Arabidopsis thaliana: one gene and its partners. The protein of the gene in region 3 interacts with the protein of the main gene of each other region in a pairwise test. Each region holds a gene or a part of one and is shown on either strand. Other genes may lie near its edges. The genes, in order: AT1G51650, AT2G45820, WOL and ALMT1.

Region 1 (4,249 bases), on a different chromosome or scaffold from region 3:
ACGGTTACCTCTCACTAAATCCGAATAGTTCTTCGCTTCTATGGAGCTGTTAGTGTTCGTTGAAGACGCCGAACCACCAGAAGACGGCGCAGATCCACTAGAGCCACCGGAACCACCGGAAGTAGGTGGGAGAGGAAGAGGTACAGCGAGAGAAACATCGCGTTGAGGAAGCGGTAAGGTAAGATCAGGACGGCGACGGGGACGGCTTTTCACCGGAACGGAAACTCCTGGAGGCGATTGAATCGGTCTCATCGCTTTTGGAATCAAAAGTTCGATTTTCTTCTACGATCTGAAAATTTAAAAGCTCGATTGAAGATTGAAGTAATGATCTTCGTCGTTTATAGTAGTAGTCTTCTTCGACTTCTTCGTCGTCGTGCGTTGTCGTATTCTAGGGTTTGTTTGTGGCAGGCTTAAATTGATTCGTTCTTCGAAGCGATCAAAATCAAAAGAAATTGAGAAATGAAGTTTCGTCGAAAGAAATTGAAAGGACACTGAAAAGGGAACGTTAATTTTTATTTTGAGAAAATTAATTAAAAGGAAATAAATAGCAAAATTGTTAAAATCGAGAAAAAGGTATCTACGCGATGTGTAAAGCGCGTGAGGATCACTTTCAAGCACGGAAACCATTTGTGACTTTGTGTGGTTGGTTCACTGGGCACTTCTGGCTCTGTTAAGTTTTTTTCAGACTTTACGCGGTGTCGTTTTGTTGGTTTTGTGATATAAACCAAGAAGAGGAAATCGAATTTAAATCAAACAAACGCGTAAAAGTGACATTGGAGATGGTCTAACCTGCAAATATGCGTACTGCGATTCAAAATACATGATTCAGAAAATCAGTTTGTATATTCTCATGTTTAATATTAAGTATGGTCTTCTCTCAACTTCTGACAGTGTATTGATTCTCCACGTATGTGCTTAGTTTTATGCTATTCTCACTGTTCTGTAACAATCAAAAGAACTTGTCTTTAGCCAGAAGAGTCTTTAAAGGCTTTTTTTCATTGTTCGCATACAAAAAGTGAAACAGAATAGCAAAAGAAGAAAAGAGATACACAAGACTCAGTGTGTCATTATTATGATCGGAAATGAGTTTTTCACTCAAGCTCCATTGTTGACAATAAAAAGAAAACAAATCTTGGTAACTCAGTTACTTTTGAATCCCTTAAGAACATAAGCTCAAAGTTGACTTCAAACTTCAGGTGTGTCTGACCGCAAAACTGTCAAGGAAAAACAAAAACATGAGAGAATGTTAGACAAATGGATCAACAAGAAGAAAGCTGAACCATTTTCAGATAGACTAAATCTGGAATCATTGTCTCAGTAAACCCTATTTGAGAAATGAAATCATTCCAAATTCAACAATTTGAACATAACAACAACTTATGAGAAAACAAAATAGAATGAAATTAATCAAATCCAGAAGCAGAAGAGAGACAGATTAAGCGCAAAATCGATGGAGCTTGTTAAAATGATTCATCTTCCTCTTAAATTCAATAGCTTTCCCAAAATGACCTACTCTGATATCTACGTATTCCAACAATTTCAATGACACACAACAAGAACATGAAGAATTCAGATCCAAACATAAACGAGAAAAGACATCTAAATGCAATGTTCCCAATCAGCTTTCCATCTTCTTCATGTTCTTGTTTCACACATACTACTAGTTTTGTTGTTTTCTCTGAAGCTAACTCTAAATGAAAAATTCAACAATTTGGACATAACAACATTGTATGAAGATAGTATTGAACTGATCAAATCCAGAAGCAGAGGAAAGGTTAAATGCAAAATCGAAGATCAAATCCAGAAGCAGATGATTCACTTTCCACTTAATTCCGATAACTTTTAGGAAATCAGATTATTCCAACAAATTACTCAAAAACAAATCAGGAATCGAGAACACAAGAACGTGAAGAATCCAGATCTAAGATCCAACATCGACGATTAAAGGATCGAAAAGGCTTACCAGGTTTCTGGGGCTTTCCATCAGCCCATTTGGAGAGAGAGAAGTGAACCTTCTCGCGAGTAAGAGCTTCAGCTTTGTGTGGCTCCTTGAGACAGTTCCTCACGATATTCGCACAGATGTTTGAATACGATATATATGTCATCCCCGCCGCTCTCCAGAACGGAACCGCCGCATTCGATGCCATCTCCGATCTTCTTCCTTGTCTTCCTTCTTCGTCCGTTCCGATTCTAAGGAGAAAGTTCGCGAAATGGGACAGAGACCGATTCTGTGCCCTAGTAATCCTAACACAGTTTAGACCCAATGGGCCTTATTAAATATTTTAACGGCCCATTAAGTAGCTAACTACACGAATCTTCTATCCAACTTTCATCTACTGAAATCTCTCAACTTTTTTTTTTTTTTTGGTTTCTTGTCTTTTTTATTTGTTTTTATGATTGTTTCTTGGAGTTTACGCGAAGACTGAGCCAAACCAAGCTTTGCTATTTTAATACCTTGATTAGGCAATTAGAAATTTAAGCGAAGTTACATAAAAATAGGAAAACAAACAAACTTATTTCCAGGAGTCTCCACGAAATTTACTCAAAACTTATTCTCATTTTCAGGTAGATTGAATTTCGTGTATATGTCTGCATAATTTCGTGTAAATGTCTGCTTTTCTTTGTTTTGTTTCGTTTTGTAGTTTTTCAAAAGTTAATATTAAATGTGCAACAGAGAGAAGACACCAATCTCATTGACTTGTCAGAAACAAAGAAGAGAGAAACAGTTTAGTTTCAGATAAAGATGGTTGAGCTGACTAACAAATAAAACAAGACTTTGGGTTTTGCTTTAAGTTAATGATTATATGTGATCTTGTTTTGGTTTATAGAAGTCTTTAGAAGAAGAACACTGGTAATTACTTATTTTGGTGGGTTTGGTAAGAAATTTGGTTTATCTTCCGAGGATAAAGGATTGTTATCAAATCCATATATAGTTGTTGAAGCAACAATCATATCCTCCTCCACTGAGTAAGCAGCAAAACAATGGCTGAATCAAAGAGACTTGAGAGGCTTAAAGCAATGAGAAGTTTATTGAAGAGTGAGATGGAGAAATCTGAAACCTTTTCATTGGTTCTTAACAAGACTGGATCCAAGATTGAAGAGATCAACCATAAGTTGTCGTCTTTAGAAGCTGATCTTAAAGTTGAGAGATGGAAGGCTTCTCCTTTCTCTGATCATATCCGTCACACCATTGCTCCAATATCCGCTGTCCTGAGAGTCTTTGCTACGGTTCAAGAGCTTGAGAGATCTCTCGTGTCCTCTGATGGAGTCCTTGGTTATGTTTCGGATGTTAAACGTCTTGGAGAAGCGATGAAGCTTCTCTCCAGTAGCTGTGTTCTTGCTCTTAACTGGCTAGAAGATACGATCGAGTACCTAACCGAAAAGGGAATGCCTGAAGATCATCCTTGCGGTTTGCGGTTCAAGACTTCCATAGAGCTTCTCCGGGAATTGCAAATGACCGAGTCTCGTGCTTATCTCAAAGGAGGTATTCTTTACACAGCGCTGAAGAATCTTGAAACAGAATTCAAGCGGATTCTCCAAGAGAAGCCGGTTTTCTCAGAAGACAACTTGAGAAAGTTGCAGGCTATCATCAAGAGATTACATGCTCACACGCGGTTAACAAGCTGCGTACCAGTTTACATCAAAGTCCGCACCAAGGTCATTCAGAAACGGTTTGAGATTAGTTATCTGGAGAAAACAATCACAGAAGCTGATAATGTACATGATATTGAAGGCGATATAGATCAATGGAGATTGCATATGGAGATAGCTGTGAAAGAGATATACGAGTTTGAGAGTAAGCTCTGCTATGACGTATTTGAAGATATTGGAGAAGATGTTCCCTTGCGTTGCTTTGGAGAAATAGCTTCAAATTCAGTGATCCTTCAGCTTCTCAGATTTGGATCAAGAATCAGCAAATGCAAGAGAGAGCCACCAAAGCTGATCAAGCTCTTAGATTGTTTCTCTACAATGGACAACTTTCGGATAGAGTTTAACAGGCTATTTCGAGGGGAACAATGTTCAGAGATACGCAGAGTTACACGGGAGCTAATCAGCAATCTCGTTAAGGGTGTCTCCGAGATCTTCTGGGAGTTACCTTGTCAGGTAGAGCTACAGAGACCAAATTGCCCACCTCTTGATGGAGGTGTCCCAAAGCTTGTAAGCGTTGTGACTGAGTACTGCAACAAGCTACTGGGGAACAACAACAAGCCAATCTTGTCGAAGGTCCTAGAAATTGATTTGGGATGGA
Region 2 (4,450 bases), about 18 Mb from region 3:
TAAGATAGACATACTTATTCTTGTTCGTTAGAAGATTGTTGTTGTTCCTCTTCATGCTTTTCCGTTGAAGCATGAATCTATATCTATCTCAGCTTTATATATATCTATGTTCACAAACATTCAACAGGAAGAGAAGAAAAACGAGAATCAGGTGAGATTAAACGTTACCGAAGCTAGGAGGAAGCTCAAAGGTTTGATTCTGGTGATCGATTGGTGCTCTTCCACGAGGATTTGAATCTTGTTTCACGTTATCTTCAACACTAACCAGAGTTCACATCTTTTGTGTTAATGACGTTCATATTTTTGTGTGAATCTTGTTTACTTTTTAGTTTTTCGAAGAGTTAAAATGTTTTTAAATATTAAATAGATAATATTTTATTAATTAGTAGGAGACATTTGGTCATCCATATTTGGTATTCCTATGCTCAAATCACATATGGACATTGATATGTGATACACAAATGTTTCCCAAATAATCGTCTCTTATTAACGTTGTATTTATTGGTAAATAACTAAATACAAGACCTTTGATGTTCTTAGAAAAATAATCTGCTTACTACAAAAATAAAACTGCAAGAGTTCAATTAATTAAAGTCCTCTTTGGGAAAGTTTGTTATAAGTGCTTTAAACTGAATAAAAGAATCCGAACTTCGAAGAAAGAAGAAAGAAGATAAACCTTAACCCATTAAATAAAGGTCAGTGACATCATAGTCCATATTCGACCACTCATCATCATACAAGACAGATAATTAATCGTAAATAATTCCATGTTGTAGAGTACTTTTTATTATTATACAAATACATTAATACATCTTTCACAGGCTGTTCGAAACTGTGAGTCTGTGATTAGTGATTAGCCTTAATTAATTTACTTTATTGCTTTGTTAGAAAAAAAATTACACCTTTCTTTAAATTAAAACAAGTTGGGCAGGAAATTTAAAAACCCGTTGGGCCATTAGGATTCACAAAAGCCCAACACCTACAAAAAGAGATGTCTCCATCTCATAGTCCATATACCACATGCTTAAACCAGTTTAAATTGCATATACCACGCGCCACATAACCGGAAAGTTTTGTACACGCGCGAGACACAGACATTATCCTTTTTGTATCTGTCTTCCAGCGTGTCGAGTCAGTGAGGCTCCACGTCACCCTTTGATCCACTTAAATTTTAAAACTAAAATAATTGTTTAAATGAATTCGAGTGATTGATATTTTATTATAGATTTAATACACACCCGACACTCTGTCAATTCTATAGGCATACGAGCTCACTCCAAATTTAGATTCAGTTTTTTAATACGAACTTTTTAGTTAAGCCAAGATTAGCAATAATATAGATCATTTATTTTCTTGATTGTAGTTTGATTGTTGTTTTTCTCATAATAAAAAAATCCCAGCTAAAATCTGATTTTCAATTTTAAACCAATTTATATGGTAAACAAAATTTTAGTTCGGTATAATTGGAAGAATTAAGTTTTGTTGAATATCAGGAAAAAAGAAGGGGAGGACAAATTTTCTACAGAGGTGACGTGGCATCATTGAACCACTTTACTTGTCGGCAGTGAGGTGTGTTTAATCACGTGTAACGCATCCAATGCGTATGAGAGCTTTACAGCCGCACGATCACATGGGTACAAAAATCAACGGCGAAGCAAAACAAGAGTCTCACACTTATTAAACGCGCGTAGTACGCTCCACCGGTATAAGCTAACGGAGGATATAAAAACTCTTTAACTCATTATTGTCCTAAAATCTCAATTTTATCCATTTTCACGGAAAAAACATAAAATCTGTTCTTCTTCTTCGGCTGAGAGACAATGGCGGAGGAGCAAAAGACGAGTAAGGTTGACGTAGAATCTCCGGCTGTTTTAGCTCCGGCGAAGGAACCGACTCCTGCTCCGGTGGAAGTCGCGGATGAGAAAATTCATAATCCACCTCCCGTCGAGTCCAAAGCTCTTGCCGTTGTAGAAAGTAAGCTTTCTATTTACATACGTGTGTGTTTTATATATGTTAATCTTCTACTTAGGAGGATTCATTCATGTTTACGATGAATTATTATAGTATGTAATTCAGAATTCTTACGTTTGGAACTAAGGTTTCAATTTACAATTAACAAATGGATTTTCTTAAGATGCCTAAGGTTTTTGTGAGTTCTTTTGCATATGACTTGGTCTATACTCTATTTGTTTAGGTGAAATCCATCGCTGTTAGAATTTACAACTTCATCATGGCATTTTCAAGAGAATTATGTTTTTCGAGGATGATATTATTAAAATATGATTAATAGTAAAGCAATGTTCCCTGTAATTAGTGTTATCAAAAAGTGTATGGAATCATGACAAATTAGTTGTGGACAGCTATGAATTAAGGAAAGTGGGTTACTTTCTTAATATTCCTACATTTTTTCCTTCCTTTAAAGTTGCTTAACTCTTGGAAAATAACAATTAAGTACTAACTTTCCAGCAGTTTTTATAATCCTTGAACATTCATTTGTTCATCTTTATTTACTATCTGTAATTCCTTCTGTGTGGAGTTTCGTTTTATAAACTACTATTTTGATGACCTTATTAGCCAATTAGAGCAACAAAATTTAACTTAGTTAAAAGTGAGCTTCTTGCAACAAATATCCATGTGTTATACTTATAAGTGTGCTTCTTGCAGAACCCATCGAGGAGCATACACCTAAGAAAGCTTCATCTGGTTCGGCCGATAGAGGTCAGCTGATAACAACACTTTGTTTCTCATGTCCAGTTTCTTAGTTACTTAGTTCAGTAATTTACTTCAAATGTGTGTTGTGTGTGTTTGGTCAGATGTGATACTTGCCGACTTGGAAAAAGAGAAGAAAACGTCATTCATCAAAGCATGGGAAGAGAGTGAGAAGTCAAAGGCTGAGAACAGGTAAACTTTCATCATCTTCTCACCCAAAGATTACTATTGCTTACAGATCTCTGATGATCTTGAAATGGACAGGGCACAAAAGAAGATCTCTGATGTGCATGCTTGGGAAAATAGCAAGAAAGCAGCCGTAGAAGCTCAACTTAGGAAGATCGAGGAAAAATTAGAGAAGAAAAAAGCGCAGTACGGTGAGAAAATGAAGAACAAAGTAGCTGCAATCCACAAGTTAGCAGAAGAGAAGAGAGCAATGGTTGAAGCTAAAAAAGGAGAAGAGCTTCTCAAAGCTGAAGAAATGGGTGCTAAGTATAGAGCCACTGGTGTAGTACCAAAGGCAACGTGTGGATGTTTCTAAGCCTTTATTGAATTTGTATCTTTGTAACAATTCATCTCTGTTTCTTTCTTCTTCTTTTGTTTTTGTGTGATTCAACAACTCTTTTTAGTTTTTGTTATTTGTTTGGTCGTTTGTGTCTTGTTTACATATTGGGTGATTGTGTGTAAAAGTGAAAGATTAATGGAGTATAATTGTATGAAGCATCAAATCTTGTTTTGCCTTTTGTTTCAGTTGTACGACTTCACATCTGATCTGTAACTCTTAAAATGCTAAGACACTTGACTTGACACACACCAACTATAATCCTTAAACAGTTCAGGCACAGGTGGAGATCTAAAAGCAATAAACAAGCGAATGAAGTTAAAATGTCTTCTTCGGTTTGATCTCACTACTCGGAAATTCCTCTCAAGTCTTCAAGATGAGAGAACATCAAAATGAAAAGGTGAAAAGGTTTCTAAGAACATGAAAATTAGAGATGAGAGAAGACAACTTTAAGGTTCATATCATGCAGCAGAAGAAGTCTTCAATTCAAACCAAATCAAGCCGGTACTGCTTTAAAGGTTTAGACACAATCAACCGCTTCCATCGCCATCAACCACCTATACTGTCTCTTCTTGCCTCAGTACAGTACTCTATGTGTTGCCTTCATCTCTAGAACGAGCTAGTGGCTGCCAAAGCTGAATGATTTGCCTCCTCACTACACCTAAATAACCGCAAACCAAAATCAATGGAAATTTGGTCTATGAGCAATGCAGGTTAGTTCTAATGTCAAGATGCCTAGAGAGGGATTTGTCTCACCGGTTAGTCCATCAATGCCTTGCCGGGTAGAGAATGTACACCAGGTAGAAGTTACTGACAGTAGATTGCCTTGTCGATAAGTGAAGGTATGGGCTTGATTTCAGTTCCAAGTTCTTGCTCTGTCTGATACCTGTTGGAAACCAAATAATTGAGTAAGAAAGCTATAGCATCTATGAAAAGAGAGGCCACACCAGTTGAGAAAAAGAAACACGAACATTTTGAAGCGGTCCTCATAAGTTACCAAATTCACAGCCAACCCAAGGTGTCCAAATCGTCCTGATCTGCCTACCTGGTAATATAATGAAGCAAAAACCCATTCACAATTTGAACAAATAAAACAGAGCAGGTTCTCAAGAAGATAAACCAAAATCGGCTTCCCTTAACATACCCTATGTAGATACGACTCAGAAGTCCTAGGAAAAT
Region 3 (8,425 bases):
TTGTTGTTGTTAATCTTATAGAAAAATAGTAAAAGTAGCTAAAGATTGGTGTATTATACGCACCAACCATATACTATAAACTCGCACGAAATGTAGATCGAACACTTGTGTACGTAGAAAGATTACGTGACAACAACAACTAGTCCACTTTGCTGTTCGTTACGGTCACACATCAACCACATTTATTTCACTTACTTCTTTTTTCAATCATTTCTTAAATTCTCAATAATTCTAAAAATCAGATATTTGTCCAAACCTCTTTGGTGTAGTGGCACAAGGAAACTTTAACTCCTATACCTGAGTTTGATTTTTCATGAAAACAATAACAAATTTGTTTAGAAAGTCTCTCAGTTGTGATTTGGTCCAATTAATTTATTTGGTAGTTAGAAATGCAGACGGTATGATTATCCTTGGTATTAGTCGGAAGGCATTTCAAATTAGAACCTAACAGTGTGGTGATCCAATTCTACCTAAATCGGGAGAAATTCATTCTGTAGTATTTCGTTGCGTTCCTACTGAAACTGATAAAATAAGTCGATAGAGTATATAAAAAACAAACAAAAAGTCAGATATTTTCTATATACTCTTCTTGGACAAGTTCCTAATTCTTCTCATCCTTTATAGATTACATCGAGAGATCCGATTAAAGGGTTGTTGATTGGCTTTGGTTATCTCACTCGGTTTAGTGAGATCGACGAACCAATAGTAAAACGCAGTCGTTTTTAAGCTTTGCTCTGTTTCTGTTGTTTGAAAGCTCAAGTCGTCGACTGAGCTATAGCTAATGAAGAGTTGTTTGAGCTCTTTCTCTGATCTTCGTTCAACTAGCTAACCGATTTGGTTGCTAAACAAGCTCAAAAGATGAATCAAAATGGTCTCGTCTCAAGTTATAAGAAGATGTTATATATGGAAAAGTTATTATTAGAACATTACAATGTTTAAACGACTAACCAAATCTGATACAGTACAAACGATCCCGTGGGATTAATACTTACGCTAAGATCAACACTGAACCGTCGTCTTAGACGTTGTCGTTTAACAACATACACTAGTCATGGCAAGCTACATTACTTCGGTGAAAGAAAAAAAAACCTTCAAAATCTCTAGATTGTGAACCTACTGTATGTACAGAAACCAAAATGCATATCAATCAGCAGAATCGGTCCACTCTTCCGGCTGCGGAGAGAGAAAAAAAACTCGCCGGAAGATTGGATTACGACGAAGGTGAGATAGGATTAGGTTTGAATGATTTGGCAACGGATTTATAGAGATTCTCTTCTTCAAAAGGTTTGGAGACGTAACCATCCATCCCACTTTTCAGACATTCCTCGTAGGTCGCGTGTATCACATCCGCAGTCATCGCTAGAATCGGTAAATGCCATTCGAGATTTGTCTTCTCTTTAGTTTCCTTCTCCATCATTCTTATCTGACGAGTTGCTTCAAATCTGAGAATCAATGAAGTTTATAAAAGATTTTAACCGAATCCGAACCAAACCAAGTCAGTTATAATTTGGCGGGAAATTTTTCATACCGAACAATTCAAAAACCGAATAATCCAAAAATAGTATTAGTTGTGATTTAGTTACCCGTCCATCTGTGGCATTTGAATATCCATGAAGCAAGCATCGAAAGTGTGTGGAATCTGAAGCAAACCCAAAGCAACTTGACCACTCTCTGCACAAACCACTTCTGCTCCAAATTTCTTGAGAGCTCCTGCAGCTACTCTCCTGTTAACTATATTATCATCAACCACAAGAATCTTCTTCCCTGTAAGCAAGCTCTTGAGAGTTGCGGGTGATGATCCTTCTGGATGTTGTTGTCTTGTTTTTCTCAGCTCGAGAACTTGTTGCAGACACGCCCCAATCATGCTTGCTCTTAACGGTTTCATTATTACCGTATCTGCAAATCCTGCGGATTTAGCTCTGTCGAACTCCGAATTTGTGATGTTTGTTGCGAATAGAGCTAGTTTCGGAGACTTGTGATGAACGTTTCCGTTGGTTCTTGAATTCAATAAACGAATCTCTGAGTCATTATCTTCAGTTGAAATCCATGAATCTTTCTCTACTAAGATCATATCAAGTTGCGGTTTTGTTGGGAGAGGAGAACCGTTTCTTTCAAACGCAGCAGCTGCAACAACAGCGGTTTTGAGACTTGTCACGACATCAACATTGATTCCGAGTCTTTTCATATGGTATCTAGTCACAGCAGCTCTAACAGGCTTAGCATCAACAACTATAGCTTTCATTCCTTTAAAAGTAGAAGGCAAGTGTTCCACATTAGGTTTCTTCATATGGTTAATCGCACTGCATTTATCGCATTTCTCTAAAACAGCCGTGAACCAGAACGTGCTTCCAATATGAGGCCGGCTTATGAAATTTATCTGACCACGCATAAGTTCAACAAGACACTTGCTTATACTCAAACCAATACCAGTACCTCCATAGTTTCTTGAAGTCGAGCTATCTGCTTGCATAAACGGCATAAACACACGGCCTTGCGCAACTAAAGGGATTCCAATACCCGTGTCTTCGATTGAAACCATAAGCCTAACATTGCTAGAAATATCAAACTCCGATAATGACTGCTCCTCAGAGACCAAATGCTTGAATGAATCCCAGCTATTCCGACCATCAGCAGCTTCGTAACCGCTCAATGTGTTGTAACTTGACTGTTTGGAAACAACGATCATTTCTTCAGACACTCCACCATTCAATGCATTTTTCGGTTCAGATTCATCTTTTGATTGTTCCGCAAGATGGACTTTAACAAAGATATGTCCTTTCTCTGTGAACTGTCAAAAAGACAACATCTTGATCAAACAAAAATCATATACACAAGCTGCCAACAAAGGCAGAGATTGAAATAGGGACTAACTTTAACCGAATTTCCAACAAGGTTTATGATTATCTGTCTAAATCTCCCTGAATCTCCTTTGACTATCTCTGGTACTTTGTCTGAAACGAAAACCGCGAGCTGCCAAATTTGAAATCAAGAAATTAGCAGCCACAACTCCAAATAGATGTATCTTTATTCCTTGGATTGAAAACTTACCTCAATGCTTTTGTTCCTTGACTCCTCAGAGAATAGAGAAAGGACATCATCCAATATTGAACGGATATCAAATGGTACTGATTCCAACTCCAGCTTTCCAGCTTCAATCTTGGCGCGATCAAGAACCTCATTTATCAATGCAATCAAAGCTTTACCACATACTTGAGCGGTTTGAGCGTAATCTCTCTGTGTCGAGCTTAGTTCTGTATCTAGGAGCATAGCAAGCATTCCTGCAGAAAATTTTTAAAACAGAATCTTTGAGGCAGTTTGAGAAACCAAAGATGAAAGGCAACAGTACTGGAATTTGTTTGAAGATGTAGTACCGAGAATGCCATTCATTGGTGTCCTGATCTCGTGAGACACGGTAGCAAGAAACTGCGATTTAGCGACATCAGCAGCTTCTGCTCGAACTTTAAGCTCTTGCATTTCATGGAAATCATCTTCGACTTTTACTATGTGCATAGCTGCACCATACAGTATATAACCCACCAAGAAACCAATCGCAAAGAACAATGGCACAGTTGTGAGCACATTCAACGGTATTGGTGCCTTTTGGTGGTACCTGCACTCGAAATTGTTCAAACAAGATATCAGTTTTTAGATATCAGAGAGTATTTTAGCTTTAAGATTTTCTGTGTGGTACCTGCATATCATCTTATGTTTCCTGAAGGGGTCTCCAAAATCGAGCTTGCTCTCATGAGAGAGAGATCTGTCGGCTTCTTCATCTTGATTACCATACATGACAAGTGGATCTGATGCATTGGTGATATCATACACATGCACAACTATTGCTTGGTTACCAGCAAGCTGACCAAGTAAATTCTCGACTAGAGACTCCACATCAAACGCACCACCAAGGTACCTGCATTTCAAATTCAAGCATCAATCTTTACTTTACACACAAACCAATCTTGAAATCTCAAAAAACCTCTTTCCTTTACATGATCACACACATAAACCAATCATGAAATCTCGAAAATCTCTTTTTACATGATCACAAGCAAAAGTTTGCTCCAGTAATCAGATGGGAACTTTACCCTGCAGTGGCTGCAATACGCTCTTCGACAGTCGGATTTTCAGGAAGAGAAGACTTGTAGACAGGGAATGTCAACACAACTCCGAGATGGTGAGTTTCCAACAACCTAAAAGGGCTAGTCAAGACAGCTTTTCCGGTTTCTCTAGCTCGCAAAATATTCTCACGATCCTCCTGCAGAAAAGATAGCCAAAATTCAGAAGAGGTGCAGGTCGGATACTTAACCGAAAAAACAAAACCATAAGTGTCTGATAATGTTTATATTACCTCGCCTGACATCATATCGAGTGACTCAAGGTAAGAGACACTATCTTGAGAGAATATAACAGGAGCATACTCATCCCTAACCGGTGAAGGCTCTCCTCTATCCATTGTCTTTATAACCCAATTGTGCTGCCGCTCAAACATCTCCCTCTCAAAATTCACAACTTTTTCAGCATAAGCCACTCCACTTAGCAACGGTCTCTCAAATGCTGTTCTTGCCGTGTACTCCGCAAATGTCTCCTGCAAAATTAGCCACAAACCAATGAGTAAAGCAAAGGCCTAAATTTCCCTTCATTTACTCAATAACCAAACATAAAAGAGTAAATTTCAAAAACTTCTGGTTCCAAAAAAAGTCAACTTTGCATTTATGAATCAAAAATTTCACCAAAGCTTTGAGCTTTTAATAAAGCACACACTGACCTGATCAATTGCAGAAGGGTTCTTGTGGTAATGAAAAGTGGAGACGAGAATAGCCAAAGCATGAACATGATTAACACTAACACTAAATTGATCCTGCAACATTCTAGCTCTTTGATCACACATGCTGACCAAAACCTCTTCCCTTCTAATCTTATTAGCATCATCCATCCACTGATAAATCCCACTGCTTATAAACCCAACAATGATGATCCACAGAATCAAAGCTTTTGGTAACAATGCTCGATGTTCTTGTATGAAAGTTGACCCTTTTTTATTACCCATTAGATCGTTATTATTATTATTGTTCATCTTCACCGCCACTGAATGCTGAAGCTGTTGCTGCTGCTGCATCTTCGCAAAACCCATCAACCCCGAACGCCAAAAATCGATCTTTCTCGGCTTTTCTGACGAATTCAGAGCACCACCACCACCCAGTTGATAAAAATCGCTGCTTTTCAAGTTTTCTAGTGACTCGGAATCAGAAATTTCAATTCTTCGTGGCTCTTCTTCTTCTTCTTGATGATTGTTGAGTGCCCAGTTCATATCTGAGCTACAACAATAGAGAACAAAAGAAGAAACAATAGTGAAAGAAAACAAAAGTTAGAGCCTTTTTTGCATACATATAACATAAAAGCATTGGTAGTGTAGTTATGATTAAGAATGTTACCATAAACATAGTTTATAGTACAGAAACAAACCCTAGAAACCTGTAGACGAAAAAGGACATGTTTTTGCGAATTCAAGAACAAAAGAGAGAAAGAAACGCATGGTTCTCAAAAGAAGCAACTTTGCTCAGTTTCCAAAGGTTTCTTACAGAGAAGAATTAAAAACTAAGTAATTATTGTCAGAGAAATTAATTAATACTAAAAAACACACTAATCAATCATAAGCTCTTTACAGGCGTGATTGTTTATTATTGGAACAAGAACATAGCTATGTTCACTGTCTCAAATCCAACAATAGAAAAAAAATTAAAGCTTTGACCAAAGAAAGAAAGAACACAGAGAGAAACATAACATTAGGAAGAACGACTAATAAGCAAGCACATGGAGAAATTATTTTAGTTACCTGTAATGAGTTGTGAGAGGATTGAACATTGCATTATTATTATACACAAAATCTCTTCTCATCACTTCAAATGTAGGTATTCCATTTTCTTTCTTCTTTCTTCTTCTTTTGTTTTAGTGAGATTTTTTGCTTTTAAAAGTAAGAAAAAAATTGAATCGAATTTTTTAGATTTTCTTCAGATACGTTTCTCTCTCTCTGTGTCTCTGTCTATATCAGTTTTTTGCCATGAACTTTCTTTTCATTTTTATATCTCTCTAGCTCTTTTTTCTTTTTCTAACTTGAGTCCAACTTTGAAGAAGAAAAGTTTTGGACTTTTTCTTAATGGCTCATGATATGATCCATCCAACAAAAGTTATTATTTTACCCAAAATCTCCTCAAAGTTAACATTATTATACGAAATAGATATATTTTCTCTAACCGAATTGTCGGTATTTACTGTGTATTTAGAGAAATTGCAAAGCGACAATGAAGAATTCACAAACTTCTCTTTATCTATAATTTTTTATAATGCTAATATAAAAGCGTATAATTTGGCGCGGAAGATCCGCACCGAACCGCATCATATCACATTTGTAAATAATATCCCTCAGGATTGGTTTACTTGAGCTTTAATAATTTTGGATGACAAAAAAAAAAATATAATTATTGTGACACTAACTAGGTTTGTCTTACTAATTAAAACATCTTTAAAACTACATTTATTCAATTTCATTACATTTCTTATACATCATTTAACATTTAAAGTAACATTTACCATGTTTAAATTTCTTGAATAAGTGAAGTAATATATAGTCACCAACTTCTCAAAATTTATTATCTATTTTTTCCTTGGTATAAATAAGTTTTCTGAACTTTAGAAATAAAACGTTTTGTTTTGTTTTTTTACTTACACCAAAAGGAAAATAAAACGTTTTTTTGTTGAAATATAAGAAAACAAAAAATATAGGTGAGTGAGAGACTTTGTACGAGAGTCGCTATCGCATATCTTTGGCGATAATGACATCGCGACAAAGCGCAGATCTGGCCCCATAGACCTTTTACCTGAAATACCCACCATTCTAGTCTCTTAACTACGAAAATACCCCGGTTAAATGGGCCTGACTCATAAGCCCATGATTTATCCACGTGTAATTCTTAAGACAATTGCATGAGTTGATTCAGGAGATTTTAGAATTCAAAATTTATGAATAACAATCAAATTATTTATTTACTACTAGTATTATACGGTAAACTATTTTTTATATTATTTAGAGTGTTTCTTTTTTTTGTAATAGCAAATTGTTATGACCTAACCACAAATTTAAAATGCTCATGAATTTCTAAAAACGTTAAAAACAAAAAATCATTAAATTATTACATGTTTGAGGCAATAGTAAATCAATCCCATTAAATTAGTACCATATTAAATGATAACATAGTTATGAGTTTTATAATGAAAAATACAGAAAAAAACATAGAGCTATTATTAAAGATACATGAAAATATTATTATTACCTTATATGTGTAGATGGAAACTGACGTGGGTTGTGTAGCTTTCTCTCGTGCGCTTAGAGACAGTAGCTTCTATAACTACATGATATTTGAGAGAAGTTTTTGAATATTCAAATGGATTTTAGGAACACTTGTATGGTTCCTTTGAAATATGCAGAATTAGAACTTAAAGCAAGATTGATAAACATAGAGAAGATACGTGTTTGGGATACCTTAATTTCATGGCTTGATCAGAAGCTTTCAGTCATAGATGAATGCAGTGTAGTTTCTTTTTCCGCTATTGATTCTTTGATCGCTGCACATGTCACAGAATTTTAGTAATGATTTTTGTTACAGATTTCTATATATGTTTATAACAGAGGCCAGTGAAACTCACATTGTGCTCTTCCGAGAAAGAAAAAACAAACAATGAATCTGGAATAAAGTGAAATTAACCTAAGAAAAATAGAAGACAATAAACTTGGATCGAATACCATTTTTTCTATACAATTTCATATCGATGGATCTGGGAATGATTTTTTTTTTTTTTTGGAGGAAGCAAGAGCAAGAGATAGATTTAACGTGAATTGGATTTTTGTAGAGGAAGATAAAACGGTTTGGAAAATCTTGAGTTGGTTACAAATTTCCAAAGATAATGATGGTGTGGTGTGTGAGAAAATCTAGGAATATTTTTTTGTTTTTAAATATGTAGAAAAAAAAAATGAGCGTTTTTTTTTTAAAAAATTTTAAATAATTCTTTAAATTATAAACAAATCTTATGTGGCATAATTTTATTGGGCAAGGGACTTGTACTTTATATTATAAAGGAAAAAGAATTTATTTTATTTTCTTTTTTGTTCTTTTATTTTATTTTTTAATATATATATATATTAAAATTTAACTCAAATGGGTTTGGGTTAGACCTTAGAGAAACATAAATGGTTAAAACCTAACGAAAATAATTGAAAACAAAAATACAATGTGTGAATCCCTATACATTATTAGTCAATGCATTGAAAAAAATTGTTTGAAAATTGACAAAATGGGTCGATGGAAATATCAAATATCCTTTTTTTGTTATGTATGGTTAATTTAGGGAAATGTCTTATAAAAAAGGTGAT
Region 4 (5,734 bases), on a different chromosome or scaffold from region 3:
TATAGAAGACACATGGATGCAGGTTCATATTGCTTCATTTCATTACTGAATCTTAGTCCATAGTTATTGACCTGAAACATTGGTACTTAGCGTAGTATGCACTTTTCGCAGGAGCTGAACGCAAATAGGCCAGCGACGCCAACCCGAGGACGCCCACAAAATTCAAATGACCGAGGAGGTTCTCTGGCTTGGATGTGAGGCAGATAAAGAGGCACTCGTGCACATACATACCGCTCCAAAAAACACTTGTAACATCTGCCTCCTGGTGTTCCTCATGTGTACAGAAAAAGATGAGCCATAGACGAGAAACGATGAGGCTTGAAGATATCAGGGGGTGTGTAAATTAAGATGTTAAAAGGTTAGAGAAGTCAGTTTTGGTGGTGGTTTAGTAGTGATTTGTAGAGTTTATTTGTCCGGGCTTTAGTCCTCTCGTTCATTTTTATTCAGTCTGCTGTTTCTTCTTTTTTTTTATCATGTCATATCTTTCTTTTTTCCTCTTCAATTGTCTCCGTTGTTTTCGTTTGTGGTATAGTTTTTTGGCGAGTGGGTATGAATTCTTAGAATGGTAATGGTTGATTAGGTGGAGGATGGTCTGATGTCGTGGGGGGGGGGGGCTTTTGTGTATTTTAATTTTATTGTCAGTTCATACTTTGTAACATTTGTGTTGATTATATGATACGAAAAATTTTCCTGGCTCCTTTTGGTTGTCTAAGCTAGACCAAAAAAGAAGAGAAAAGAAAGAACTTATGCCCTTGAAAGCGACTTTGAGTTGGTTCATGGATCCTCGGGTGATGGACTCAGTCACTCGATTTGCTTGAGATTCATAAATTTATACATGTGCTTTGTGGCCTTCAAATGAAACACTGGTGATGTCGATATGATGTGATTTGGCATCGATGCTGTCATTGGCTCCAAAAAATCATGTTTTAGCGGTGAGAACAAAAAAAACAAAATTTTTGGAGGATCAGATGGTTGAAGTTAAAACTCGAGGGTATTAGATGGTTAAATTTTAATATTGTTTTGGATATAGGATGGTGATTAAAAAAAAAAAGTTTTGATTAGTGTTGGTGCAGGAATTAGCATCTCCGATAATACCAATTTAAACCAAGGAATAACGTGAATAAAATCGAGAATTCGATTGAACCGGGGTATCCCGGCTAGTCTGTTAATGGGCCTAAGTCATGAGCTCGCCAGAAGATTTAGGTCGACAGTCAAGATCGCCATAGGCGGCTTCTCAGGTCGTGTAAAGGGAAAACTTCCATTTAAGAGAAGAGGATCTCATGAAGAATAGAAGTAATGAAGATTTAGACCTAAGATAATTAGAAGTTTATCATATTTTGGTATGTTGGACCCATTGTATAAATAGGGGGGGGGGGTCAAGCCCTCTAAGAGGATCATGACCAACCTAAGACAAGAGACTACTATTACAGAGCAAACTCTAGCTTTTTATTCAAGCAACTTTGTTCTTCTCCTTTGATTATTCGTGAGCTAAGAGAGAAGTGAATTTGTCTAAATCCCTTAGTACAAATTAATTGTTTGATTAGAGAATCAACAATTAGTTTTGAACCTGATGATGTATTGGTCAAACTTGTAATCATCGCATCTGAGTTTGAGGTCATTTTTTCCAACTGTTGTTATACATATAAAATATCCAAAGAATAAAAGCCTTGTACGATCGGGGTATTGGGGTCCGTACCAACTTGTTGACATTTTTTATGTTTTTGGTGTGTGGCAGACTAGATTGAAACAATAATGACTAAGCAACTCAGTAAGAGTCCTTTTTTTGGACTCAGTAAAAGAGTCCAAGTTTTCTTTGAACAACAAAATTTTGTTGAGGTGTGTATGCACTTGGTTGGGAACAAACAAGTAGATGGCAAAGATCATTCGAACATTGGAGCCCAAGTGTTGAGGGCACTAATCTTGTCGATTACAGAAACGAAATTATTTGGGGAAGCTGCAAGAAAAAGTTTAGTTAAATCTTTTATATTCCTTAATCAAAATGTATCATGCATACACTATATACAATTCACTAAAGTATGATAGTTAAATACCTAATTAATATCATGATCAACTCCTACCGGTTCATCTAACTAATCCAGCTCAGCATAAAAACCCTCACGCGTCGCTCCAATTAAGGGGAGGGCTTAACTAGTGCCCAACTTACTGGGCTAGGTTCGACTCCGTTTTTTTATTACATTTTCCTTTTCCATTTCTTTAAGACTTTAACCCTGAAATCTCGAAGTGCAACGCACCACTAATTTTTTATAAATATTAACATAACATTTCATGAGTCCTAAACAAGAGTCTCTCTTGGTCTTTATAAATACATCGATCCATGTACATAAAAACAACAAGTCATCTTTTCTTTCTATCTGAAAGTAATCAGAGAATCAGAAAACACTTGAGAGAGCTGAGTGACCATCAAAAGGTGTTATGGAGAAAGTGAGAGAGATAGTGAGAGAAGGGATTAGAGTAGGGAATGAAGACCCGAGAAGAATTATTCATGCTTTCAAAGTGGGACTTGCTCTTGTTTTGGTCTCTTCCTTCTATTATTACCAACCTTTCGGTCCTTTCACCGATTACTTCGGTATCAATGCAATGTGGGCTGTCATGACCGTCGTTGTTGTCTTTGAATTCTCCGTAGGTTCGTCATCTAGTTTCTATCATTTGAATATGTCTAGTAGATATATCTAGGGAGAATGCAAGAATTTTTGTTGTAAACTTTTGGCCATAATATTAAATAACTTTGGTTTGATGTGTACTTAGGGGCTACACTTGGGAAAGGACTAAATAGAGGAGTGGCAACATTAGTAGCAGGAGGACTAGGAATTGGAGCTCATCAACTAGCAAGATTGTCGGGTGCAACAGTGGAACCTATTCTTTTGGTCATGTTGGTCTTTGTGCAAGGTAAACCCTTATAACACTCTTTACATTTTCAGATTACCATGCGTTTCCAAGCGTTTGGTCAATCATTGTTTGGCTAAAGACTAGATCAAAGAAGATTGGGCAATGAGTAATTAGTATTGTGATATATGTGCAGCTGCGTTGTCGACGTTCGTAAGGTTTTTCCCATGGGTAAAGACAAAGTTCGATTATGGGATATTGATATTCATATTGACGTTCGCGCTGATATCGTTGTCGGGGTTTAGAGACGAAGAGATAATGGATTTGGCAGAAAGCAGACTATCGACAGTGGTGATTGGAGGAGTCAGTTGCATCCTTATCTCTATCTTTGTCTGTCCTGTTTGGGCTGGACAAGATCTACATTCTCTCCTTGCCTCTAACTTTGACACTCTCTCCCACTTCCTTCAAGGTTTTTTATTTCTTTCTCTTTTTCTTTTCCTCATTATGTCTCTACAAGAACATAAATATATACATATACGAGATAGTGAATGTGAAATTGGCAGATTTTGGGGACGAATATTTTGAAGCGAGAGAGAAGGGGGACTACAAAGTAGTGGAGAAGAGGAAAAAGAATCTTGAGAGATATAAAAGTGTTCTTGACTCCAAAAGCGATGAAGAAGCTTTGGTGGGCTACTCTCTCTCTTTCTTTCCCTACTTGCTTCACAATTATGAAATCATTTGGATTGATTTTGTTTTGATATTTTGCGTTTAGGCTAATTACGCAGAATGGGAACCGCCTCATGGACAATTTAGGTTTAGGCATCCATGGAAACAATATGTTGCCGTTGGTGCATTACTCCGGCAGTGTGCCTACAGGATTGATGCCTTGAATTCATACATCAACTCAGATTTTCAGGTAATCGCTAACTTTTTGTTAGGTGTTTGCATATTTAATTAAAACAAAATTTGAAAATACATAAAAGAAGAAAAACTAATATGCTATTATGCTATAACTATTTTTGATCTAATACAATATATATATCTATATATATATATATATATATATTTACATGTCGCAAATGCAAACACAAAAATAACATCAGGTTGAAATTCTTAGTCTGTTAATTTGTTTATATAGTTTTTTTTTTTAGTGTAAACATGTATAGTAGTATATGTTTCTGGTTAACGTGTTTCTAACCCTTTGTTTATTTCTTATTTTTTCTATTAGATCCCAGTGGACATAAAAAAGAAATTAGAAACACCATTAAGAAGAATGAGCTCGGAATCGGGAAACTCAATGAAAGAAATGTCCATTTCACTAAAACAAATGATAAAATCATCTTCTTCTGATATCCATGTCTCAAACTCACAAGCTGCATGCAAATCTCTTTCTACTTTACTTAAATCAGGCATCTTGAACGATGTTGAGCCTCTTCAAATGATCTCATTGATGACGACTGTCTCCATGCTCATAGATATTGTTAACTTAACCGAAAAGATCTCGGAATCTGTACACGAGCTTGCATCCGCTGCAAGATTTAAGAACAAGATGAGGCCGACCGTGCTATACGAGAAGTCGGATTCCGGAAGCATTGGTCGTGCCATGCCAATAGATTCTCATGAAGATCATCATGTTGTCACAGTTTTACATGACGTTGATAATGATAGATCAAACAATGTTGATGATTCACGTGGAGGGAGTTCACAGGACTCATGTCATCATGTTGCCATAAAGATTGTTGATGATAACTCAAACCATGAAAAACATGAAGATGGTGAAATACATGTACATACATTAAGTAATGGGCATCTTCAGTAAGTAATTCAACTCATTATTTGAGGAGCAGTCTTTTGTACCCGCAAGATTATAGAGACGAGACCATCGGTATATAACATATTCGGGTATTTCATTCAGATTTGAAGTTTGTTACAAATACTATTGTCGCCTTTGATCATTTTTGAACTATTGGTCACACATTTAATAAAGTCTTGGTCTTCGTTTTCCTTTGCGTTACTCTTTTAAAGATTTTTATATCCAACTGATCAAAAAATTTAAAAATAGCATGGTTTTATTTTTGGATTATGGTGTTTTAGAGAGCTAACCTCAGTAAATAAAAGAACATAGACCGGCGCCAGATAAAGACAAGTCCGGCAAAAACTCTAGATTGTTATTTTCTATGAATATAATTAATTTTATTCCAAACATATATCGTATGAAAAAAAAAATCATTTATCATTGGAGGAGGCGGTGATCAGGCGCAGTGAGAGGAGGAGTCGGTTAACAAAAGTGGTCTTGGCCAGTGCCAAAGCGTCATTGTAATCGCTTTCAATTCTCAAAACCAATACGGTAATATGCACAACTAATAGAATGTTTCAGGTGACAAATTTTCTCACTAAAGTCAAACTTTCATACTTGCCGATGAAGTAACAAACATACAGTACGTTCAATACATTAAGGATATATATAAGAAACAAAAGCTGGAAATTGTGTGAATTTAGCTAGGTTAGATTATAGTATAATAAAGTTGCCTTGTACGATTGGGGTAATGGCTAATGGATTCCGTACGTTGATGCCAACTTGGTATTGGCAAGGCTGAGTGTGACTCGGTGCAAAAAGCACCAGCTGCTATCTAATTCCGCGTTCTAACCAATACTACATTTTCATTTATTATTACTTTTTACAATCCATAAATCTCTCTGCTGTGGAGGGTTGATATAAGATCCGAAACTTCTTTGTTGATAAAAAAAAATCTAACAATCTTCCAAGTTCAAATCTCACTCAGGAAATATGAATGACTGAATATTTAATTAGATATTATCGAAATTGTGATTCTTGTTGACAAAAAAAAACAAATCTCATAAGAAGTGGTGATGTCAGTTTTCGTTGAGA

Evidence for each region.
Region 1: the proteins of WOL (region 3) and AT1G51650 interact in a two-hybrid assay, tested with the Arabidopsis thaliana proteins (one large-scale study listed by BioGRID).
Region 2: the proteins of WOL (region 3) and AT2G45820 interact in a two-hybrid assay, tested with the Arabidopsis thaliana proteins (one large-scale study listed by BioGRID).
Region 4: the proteins of WOL (region 3) and ALMT1 interact in a two-hybrid assay, tested with the Arabidopsis thaliana proteins (one large-scale study listed by BioGRID).

Annotation. Positions count from the first base shown.
Region 1 is NC_003070.9:19,150,578-19,154,826, reverse strand, and holds AT1G51650 (ATP synthase epsilon chain), read right to left. Parts: upstream 2,320-4,249; 5' UTR 2,148-2,319; coding exon 1,964-2,147; intron 1,215-1,963; coding exon 1,186-1,214; 3' UTR 776-1,185; downstream 1-775. Other genes in the region: MKK4 (mitogen-activated protein kinase kinase 4), read right to left, coding at 1-252; EXO70G2 (exocyst subunit exo70 family protein G2), read left to right, coding at 2,983-4,249.
Region 2 is NC_003071.7:18,861,947-18,866,396, reverse strand, and holds AT2G45820 (Remorin family protein), read left to right. Parts: upstream 1-1,655; 5' UTR 1,656-1,820; coding exon 1,821-1,974; intron 1,975-2,664; coding exon 2,665-2,718; intron 2,719-2,813; coding exon 2,814-2,901; intron 2,902-2,973; coding exon 2,974-3,250; 3' UTR 3,251-3,444; downstream 3,445-4,450. Other genes in the region: DTA2 (downstream target of AGL15 2), read right to left, coding at 1-73; AT2G45810 (DEA(D/H)-box RNA helicase family protein), read right to left, coding at 4,079-4,157, 4,243-4,316, 4,416-4,450. UniProt on the Arabidopsis thaliana protein: Exhibits a non sequence-specific DNA-binding activity.
Region 3 is NC_003071.7:362,122-370,546, forward strand, and holds WOL (CHASE domain containing histidine kinase protein), read right to left. Parts: upstream 6,237-8,425; 5' UTR 5,896-6,236; coding exon 5,834-5,895; exon of another isoform or gene 5,316-5,833; coding exon 4,766-5,315; intron 4,586-4,765; coding exon 4,349-4,585; intron 4,256-4,348; coding exon 4,086-4,255; intron 3,911-4,085; coding exon 3,692-3,910; intron 3,611-3,691; coding exon 3,372-3,610; intron 3,279-3,371; coding exon 3,049-3,278; intron 2,971-3,048; coding exon 2,872-2,970; intron 2,789-2,871; coding exon 1,584-2,788; intron 1,443-1,583; coding exon 1,211-1,442; 3' UTR 862-1,210; downstream 1-861. UniProt on the Arabidopsis thaliana protein: Cytokinins (CK) receptor related to bacterial two-component regulators. Also binds the synthetic urea-type cytokinin thidiazuron, a potent defoliant and herbicide. Functions as a histidine kinase and transmits the stress signal to a downstream MAPK cascade.
Region 4 is NC_003070.9:2,656,367-2,662,100, forward strand, and holds ALMT1 (aluminum-activated malate transporter 1), read left to right. Parts: upstream 1-2,235; 5' UTR 2,236-2,433; coding exon 2,434-2,644; intron 2,645-2,766; coding exon 2,767-2,907; intron 2,908-3,040; coding exon 3,041-3,313; intron 3,314-3,407; coding exon 3,408-3,529; intron 3,530-3,616; coding exon 3,617-3,760; intron 3,761-4,072; coding exon 4,073-4,663; 3' UTR 4,664-4,944; downstream 4,945-5,734. Other genes in the region: BSL2 (BRI1 suppressor 1 (BSU1)-like 2), read left to right, coding at 1-22, 112-198. UniProt on the Arabidopsis thaliana protein: Malate transporter critical for aluminum tolerance. The STOP1 transcription factor is required for ALMT1 expression.